Linked DNA regions of Oryctolagus cuniculus. The protein of the gene in region 1 purifies or fractionates together with the protein of each later gene. This does not show direct contact. Links are inferred from orthologs where the notes say so. Each region holds a gene or a part of one and is shown on either strand. Other genes may lie near its edges.

Region 1 (4,464 bases):
AAAATGCGGAAGGCATTGGGGTATGGAGACCAAGGACTGATCAGTTGGATTAAAGAGGCCAGGTTTCGCCCCGGGCTGGGTCTCATCCCTACCCCCATGTCTCCAGTTCTGCCCTCGCTTCCAGACCGGGCATTAGTGTCCCTCTCTTCATTCTCCCCGTGGCCGCCATTCCATCTCTGCGAAGCCCAGCCTCTCCCCCAATCCACAGCTCCGCTAATGAGGCCTCCTTGTCCCTCTCCCTCTGAACCCCGAGGCAGGAGGCCTGGCCTCGCCTTGCCTGCCTGCGGGACAGTCCCCACTCCCTGCCGCCAAGGAACCCCTGGGTTCCTCCCGCCCGGCTTCGCCCCCCTCTTTCCCGGCGTCTCCGCCCCCTGCCCCGCCCCCGGGCTGGCTCTCGGAGGAGGGGGAGCTGCTCTCGCCGCCGCCGCCGCCTCAGCTTCCCACAGCCGCTGCCGCCGCTGCCGCCGCTGCGCCTGGTCCAGCCTCCAGGCCCAGCGCTGTGACTTCGCCGGACCGGGACGCTTTGAGGAGACACCCTCACTCCTTCCCAGGGGTCCCGGACGCCTAGCCGGGCGTGGGGGGAAGCTCTGCTTGCGGGGGACAGGGAGGGAGGAGCCTGAAGCCGGAGCCCGCACCGCCCGCCGCCCGGATCAACGGGACAGGACAGGTTGAGGGGCGTCGGGGAAAGGAAGAGGGGGTGCTGTAGGCAGTCCCTGGGAGGACGAGCAAGCGCGGTCGCAGGAAGCTCTAATGAGCTCTGACTTGTAGGGGGCCTCTTCACATTTGGGGACTGGTGGCAACGTGGGTGCACTTCTCTCTGGGGGGCTGACTGGATGGGAGGGCGTGGGATCTAGACAGCGCAAGCTGTCATAAGGGGCAGTCCAGGAAAAAAGAAAGTGCTCATTCGGAGGTGACGGGGGCCCTCCAAACTACCACACCTGGGGTATCCATTAGGAAGGGCGGATTTGGAGGTGACTTGGAGAGGAGTGGAGGGTGACAAGGTGAGGAGAGGGTCTGTGGGCAGCTGGAGCCCTGTGCTATTAGAAATGGGAGTGATGGAGAAGAAAGGCAGTGTCCACCCAGGGGATCTGGGACCTGCTCCTCGCTGAATCCGGACAGCCTGTGTTCTCCCAGATATATTTGGGGGGGGGGGGATTTCAGTGGGAAAAAAAAAGTAGGAAATCATCTCCATTGAGAAGGTAGCAAAGGAGGGAGCACCAGCGTTGGGTTCCTCTCTGACATTGAGAGTTGTCCTGTGGGGCTGGGACGAGTTGATGGCCCCGAAGCTGGGACCCACACCTTTCAGATTATCAGAGTAGATCTGGCAGGAGTGTGGGCTCCAAAGCAGGGGGGAGAGGGAAAACTGGAGCCACCTCTTGGGAGATCTTGGCTTTGGAACCCAGGGCGTGGAGACACACACCAGAGAGGAGTGAAGAGGAGGATTTTCAGTTAGGGGCAACATTCCAGGTGAGGGAAACCAAGGAGTGCATAGGCGGCGGGATCAGGTGGAGCCAGGATAGGGCCCAAGGGTGGGTGCTGGCGGCCACAGCGAGGACTGGGGCTTGCCTCAGGTCCTGTGGGTGGGGCGGTGAGCTGGGGCCAGGGAGTGGAGAGCATGCCCTGGTGAGCGCGCTGGTTTGGGGGTGTCTCCTCCTGGGGCGCCATGGCGGCGCTGGCCAGTAGCCTGATCAGGCAGAAGCGGGAGGTCCGTGAGCCCGGGGGCAGCCGGCCGGTGTCGGCGCAGCGGCGTGTGTGTCCCCGCGGCACCAAGTCCCTCTGCCAGAAGCAGCTCCTCATCCTGCTGTCCAAGGTGCGACTGTGCGGAGGGCGGCCCACGCGGCCGGACCGCGGCCCGGGTGAGTGCGGCTGGGGCGGGGGTCTCCGAGCCTGGGAGGTTGAGGCCAGGGACTCCTTAGAATGGGGCCCGGCGAGGGGGCGGGGAGTCCCAGAGTGGGTCAGGACCACAGAGTCCCTGCTAGACCGTGCCTCAGTTTCCCTTCTCTTTTGTCCATCACCCCGAGTCTGTGCTTTCGAGGGCAAGGGGCTAAGTCTGGCGCCCCGATGCCTTGCAGCTCCGGCCCACCCCACCCCCCAGCACCGGAGTCCCCACCCCCACCGTCCTCCGCCTACGTGCCGGTTCTCGCGATTCTTTCCGTCCAGAGCGGAGGGGCCGGGGCGCGGTGGGGGGGGGGGGTTCCGGACGCCTGGGTCACCCCGAGGGTTTCTGCGGTTCCGGCCGCCCCGCCCCCGCCCCGGTTCTCCCGCTTCAGCACGCCCTGGCTCGGTTCCTCCTGGTCTAGCTCGCCTGGCTCGAAGCCAATCTCCCCGGCTCTCCCCCGGTGTCCTTGCGGCCACCACGCCAGCAAGCCCCTCTGTGGGCCCTCCTCCCGCGAACTGAGCTTCAGGAGGGGAACCGGGCATCCCTCCGCATTCCCCCCGCGCGACTCCAAAACCGGGTCCCACTGGCTCGGGGGACCTTGCCAGGAGGAACTGAGGCACAGTTCTCCACCGGAGACTGGCGCGGAGACTTTGTGGGGGGGGTCGTACCACCTACAAGGGGAACAGGGAAGTCGGCAGAGAGCAAGCAAGGGAGGAGGAGAGTTGTGAGGGTTAGTGTGTGGTCCCCGTCCGGGTGTGACAGCCAGGGAGTCCTTCTAGTCCCGCTACAGCCGGCTTCCAGCTCCCCTGGGAGTAGCCCCCTCACTCCCTCCTCACCCCGCCACCTGCCGTCCACAGTGGTACGGTCCGCAGCCCACCCTGGGAGAGGGACACGGTCCACACGTGACTCATCCTGCCACTCCATCTCCGCGGCCCCCTTCCCCCATTTCTTTGATATGGCATGGAATGTTCCCCACCCCATGCGGGTTACTTGAATGTAGGGGAGAGGCTGAGCCTCAGGGAGAGCTGGGCTCCTGTGGGTGCCAGCAGATTGACAGACTGACAGACAGACAGATTGGTCAGTGTCAGACAGGCGGGAGCCTGGCCAAGGGGAGGCCCGCGCCAATCCAGCAGCAGCCGCAGCAGCAGGTGCTGAGTCAGCGTCAGGCCTGGCCCCACCCCCACCCCTAAGGGGGAGCCCCTACCCTGTGGTCACCGGCCCCCTTCCCCCCACATTGGCAAACACTGCCCCTCCAGTAGCTGCCTGCCTCCCTCTGTCCCCTGCCTTTGGATGCTTCTCTTCCCCTCCTCCTCCCTCTCCCCTCCCCCTCTGGTTGAGCTGTACAGTAGGAATTAAGCCATTTAAATAAATTTCAATAAATTAAACGGAAAGCGCGAGGTTAGAGGAAACAGAGGGGCCCACACCCCGGCTTCCCCAGCAGTCAAGGAGAGGTGGGCTAGAGTTGGCTGGCAGGATAAGAAAGCTGGGGCCGCGGGACCCCCTTCCTCTGCTCCCTTGCGTTTCCTTCTCCTGACCCTGCCAAGTGTAGCAGTGTTTCTGGGAACAGAGATGTCGTTTCCAAAGATGAATGTCTCTCTCTCTCTCCTCTCTCTCTCTCTCCAGAGCCTCAGCTCAAAGGCATCGTCACCAAGCTGTTCTGCCGCCAGGGTTTCTACCTCCAGGCGAATCCCGACGGAAGCATCCAGGGTGCCCCAGAGGACACCAGCTCCTTCAGTAAGGGGGGAGCCAGCTGGGGGCTGGGGGGGGGAGCATGCGGGCAGGAGGTGGCAGTTGTGGCCCCTCTTCAGCTTCTGTGGCTTGCAGGCTCTCTGCCATGGATGGGGGGAGGGGGTGTGTGCTGGGGCAGCTCAGGTGCAGTGAGAGGCCTGGGTATTCATGTCTCCTCTCTCCACTCCCAGCCCACTTCAACCTGATCCCCGTGGGGCTCCGCGTGGTCACCATCCAGAGTGCCAAGCTGGGTCACTACATGGCCATGAACGCCGAGGGGCTGCTCTACAGCTCGGTGAGACACTGAGGCTGAGGGGCCTGGGGTACCAGGCACTCCCCCACCTGCCATCGTACTCCACTACAGACATGGTCTGGTGGGGTTTTTGCAGCGCAAGTCCCTCGCCCTCCAACTTTGGCTGCTGTCACCACTGTCCATCCCAGAGCACCTCCTGTAGGGGCTGTCCGAACCCCTGCTGTTCACACAGCCCCCCCAAATACTCCCCGGCTCGTGAGTGTCTCATGTGTTCCGTCCTTTAGGGCCCCCACTTCTCATCATTCCTCCTCCAGACTTTGTTATTACTCACTTCCCCAGAGGCTTTCAGGACCGGGGATGGGGAGGAGATTGGGGATGGCATTGTGGTACAGCAGGTTAGGACACCCGCATCCCCAGCAGGTGCCACTTTGAGTCCCGACAGCTCTACCTCCAATTCAGCTCCTCGCTGGTGTACCTGGGAAGACAGCAGAGAATGACCCAGGTACTTGGGCCCCTGCTACCTATGTGGGAGAGCTGCATGGAGTTCCAGGCTCCTGGCTTCAGCTTGGCCCAGGCTCAGCTTTTGGGGCCAGTTAGGGGGTGA
Region 2 (3,762 bases), on another chromosome or scaffold:
GAAAGCAGAGTATCTCCAGACCAGGTTGCAGAAGACTTTGTGACTTCAGTGTTGACCCATGAATCCTGAGCTGCTAGGCTGTCGTTGAGTAAATGCATCTCGAGGGAGGGTTAGGGAGCTTTTCAGGAATAAGAAACTAGAGGTGACAGTCACTTTTGCTTGATCTTGTTTCCCTAATGGAAACACTTCTGTCTGAAGCCTTGCAACCACGTGGCTGCTAAATGACCTCCCTCCCTGAGGCTCACAGCATAACGGGGATCTCTTCCTGCTCTGCCCGCGAGTGCCCACCGGATCACTGGTGGTTTCAGGAAGGTTAATTCCTGTCCCCCCGAGAGCTTGTCCTCCCCACGCCCGTGCCTTAATGGACCTGACCTCCTGTCCTTGCTCTGTCCTGCAGGTGGGAAAGGGCTGCTGTGCTGCTCTCAAGGCCCTCGGAGCGATCGTCTACATCACAGAAATCGACCCCATCTGCGCTCTGCAGGCCTGGTAAGAACAGAGTGCTCCTAGGATTAGATTTACTCCAGGTACTTTCTGTTTCTAAGAGTTTGTGATTGAGTGTATGAATCATTTTCTGCAGAGATCTCCCCACAGGAGGAGAAGCCAGGATTGCTCTGTCCCTCTCCCTTAATCCTGGGGCTCTTCTAGAGCCGCTTGGCTTTTTCCCTTCCAGAGGGGGGTGTGTGTAGCTCAGCGCTGCTGACTGCCTGTCCTCCTGGTGAGGCAGCTCTGCATCTGACTTCAGAAGCAGTTTTGTCATCTGTTTTGGGATCAGTGTCTTCCCACTGCCGCCTTGCTTTGCTCATAGTGTTCCTTCCTTTTCTTCCAGCATGGATGGGTTCAGGGTGGTAAAGCTAAATGAAGTCATCCGGCAAGTTGACGTCGTAATAACTTGTACAGGTAGGTTAGCTGGTGTACATGGGAGAGTGTTCGCTCGGGAACTAAGTCTTAGAAGGGGTCTGACTTTCCACTGAGCGTAGTTGAGACCTGTGCTCAGTGTAATGTCTCGCCTGAGTGAGCTCTCAAAACTAATGAGTGACAGAGTAGGGTCTTTTCCCTGTGCTGACTTTTTATACTGACTGATGTTAAAACAGGTAATTGGGATGGGTGTTGGACCCAGCACTTAAGATGCCTGTGCATCCCATTCCAGAGTCCTTGGGTTCCATACCCAGCTTCAGCTCCTTATTCCAGCTTCCTGCTCATTCAGACCCTGCGAGAAGACTGTGGTGCTCAAAGTAATGGACTTCCTGATAGCCACGGGGCAGATCTGGGTTGAATTCCCAGCTCCTGCCTCCTGGCCCCAACCAGCCCTGGCCATTGGAGGCGTTTAGGGAATGAACCAGCACATGGGAAAGCAGTCACTCCCTCTCTGTCTCTCCCCCCTCCCCGACTCCAACATCCTCTTTCCCTCCTTCCCTCCATCCCTCCCAAATAGTTAAAAAAAAAAAAAAAAAAAAAATTGAAACCAGCTCCTTGAGCCTGAGAAGCCTTTAGGCACTTCTCCCGCAGTGTATACGCATTCTTGAATGCCAAGAAACCTTTCTCATGTTCCGGCTGAAGCCAGTCGGGATCTCTGTTGTCCAGCCTCTCTCTGCTCAGCAACCCATCTTTACTCCTAGGAAACAAGAATGTGGTAACGCGGGAGCACTTGGACCGCATGAAAAACAGCTGCATCGTGTGCAATATGGGCCACTCCAACACGGAGATCGACGTGGTGAGGCCTTCGTGCTCGGTGGCGGCCCCTCCCCTCTGCTTCCCTCACAGCCGTGGTCACCTGTGCCTTCTTCCTTGCAGACCAGCCTCCGCACTCCGGAGCTGACGTGGGAGCGAGTGCGATCCCAGGTGGACCATGTCATCTGGCCAGATGGCAAACGTGTCGTCCTCCTGGCAGAGGTACATGCGCAGGCGGGCTCTGCAGAGTAGCACAGTATCGTTGGAGCTGTGGTGGGGAGAGGAGACAGGCAGAAGTACTGGGCCTGCCTTCTCCCTGAAAGTCTGTATTTGGATAGAGGTATATTTGTCAAATGGGCTGCTCCCCAAAATAGAGTCACTGAAAAGAAATTCACTTTTGGGCCAGAACTTTGGCCCTGGCAGTTGAGATGTTAAGATGCCTTCATCCCTTATCAGAGGCCTGGCTCTGGTTCCTGACTCCCAACTCCCTGCTAATGTGGACCCTAGGATGCAGCAAGTGGTGGCTCAAGTAATTGTGTCCCTGCCGTCCACATGGATAACTCGGATTGAATTCCTGGCTCTGAGCTTTGTTCTGGCCCAGCCCTGGCCATTGCAGGCATTTGGAGAGTAAACAAGCAGGTGGGGCCATGTGCTCGCTTGCTCTCTAGATATCTCAGCCTCTTAAATAAGTAAATGAAAAATCTTGAAATACACACATACACATGGGTGTACCCACACACAGTGTTTAGAAATGCATGCTTTTTCCTGTCCACATCTGGCTGAGCTTTCAGGCTCTGATGGATGGTTGGAACTAGTCTGAAGCCTAGAGTCCTGATGTGGAACTGTAATTCTTCTTCCAGTTGAGTCTAGAAGACTCTAAAGTCCTTTCTTTAACTTGCTTGACTCGCATGCTGTTGGAATCTGAGACTGAGAGATAACGGCTCATCCTGGCTCATCCTGCTCTTGCTCTTCCAGGGTCGTCTGCTCAATTTGAGCTGCTCCACAGTTCCCACCTTTGTTCTGTCCATCACAGCTACAACACAGGTATGTGGTAAGACACCTGCTACCCTGCACTGGGATTTGTGGGGCTGGACAGAGGGCAGAGCTGGGAGGCGAGTGTGCCAGGCTACATTCTGCCAGACTGTTCCTTTTTCATATTACTCTTTGTTGAGACTGAGACTTCCCAAATGTAGGACAGTCACTAGTCAGTGTTTGTGTCTGCTTGAGTTGGGTGTTTTAGTTGAGAATATAGTGTTCCAGCTTAGTTGTGTTTATTTTGTTCTTTTGTCAAGAATTAAACAAAACACCAGCAAATCCTCTTGTGATATGTGCCGACTGGCCTTTATTAGTAGGAGTTGTAGGTGCAGTTCACTATGTAGATCACCGGAGCACTTACCCTAAGGCCCTAGTAAGCCTGATTTTATTTATTCACGTCCCTGTCTAAGAAGCATGTCTGTGTTTTCTGGCACTTTCCCACCATAGGCTCTGGCACTGATAGAACTCTATAATGCACCTGAGGGCCGGTACAAGCAGGACGTGTACTTGCTTCCCAAGAAAATGGGTGAGTGCAAACCAGGGCAAACCTGCACTGCTCTCCAGACAACTCTGTGATTTGGGGGCGTGAGCATGACAAAAAGCCCTGGATTCAGAGTCAGAATTCTAATTCCTGTTGTGGTGTTTAATGATTGTTTGACCTCAGCACAAGGCCTAATCTCCACGTGCCTCAGTTTCTTGATCAGAGAGTAATCCGTTCATCCGTGTAGGAGGACTAGCACAGTGGTTCAGAGAGGATGTTCTTACCCTGAGTTGCCTCATGAAGTTCAGTGAACTTCCCATTGCAACCGAGTGCAGCCTGGGGCCAAAATGAAAGATAAAAGTTTCACATGTAAGTTTCATTGTCCATCCTCTGTTAGTTGGGCACACTGTCTCCTACCCCACTGTCTGCCCTTCCAGGGGACAGCTCAGGCTGTGTGTGTATGATACATCGTCTCCTGTCCTTTACCTTTAAATTAAAAAAAAAAAAAAATTGCTCCCTCTTTTCCTCCAACGGCTTACCTCAGAATGGTTTTTAAAATTCACATTCCTAAAAGCCAA

What was found. Proteins that work in one complex are often made in the same cells at the same time.
Region 2: the proteins of FGF11 (region 1) and AHCYL1 purify together in Homo sapiens (affinity purification with mass spectrometry; 3 studies listed by BioGRID and IntAct, with this or other methods). This does not show direct contact. The link is inferred for Oryctolagus cuniculus from reciprocal best matches to the Homo sapiens genes FGF11 and AHCYL1.

What each region holds. Positions count from the first base shown.
Region 1 is NC_091448.1:52,014,957-52,019,420, forward strand, and holds the start of FGF11 (fibroblast growth factor 11), read left to right. Parts: upstream 1-1,513; 5' UTR 1,514-1,663; coding exon 1,664-1,856; intron 1,857-3,502; coding exon 3,503-3,613; intron 3,614-3,798; coding exon 3,799-3,902; intron 3,903-4,464.
Region 2 is NC_091438.1:60,303,991-60,307,752, reverse strand, and holds part of AHCYL1 (S-adenosylhomocysteine hydrolase-like protein 1), read left to right. Parts: intron 1-397; coding exon 398-486; intron 487-826; coding exon 827-897; intron 898-1,616; coding exon 1,617-1,711; intron 1,712-1,791; coding exon 1,792-1,890; intron 1,891-2,643; coding exon 2,644-2,712; intron 2,713-3,150; coding exon 3,151-3,229; intron 3,230-3,762. UniProt on the Homo sapiens protein: Multifaceted cellular regulator which coordinates several essential cellular functions including regulation of epithelial HCO3(-) and fluid secretion, mRNA processing and DNA replication.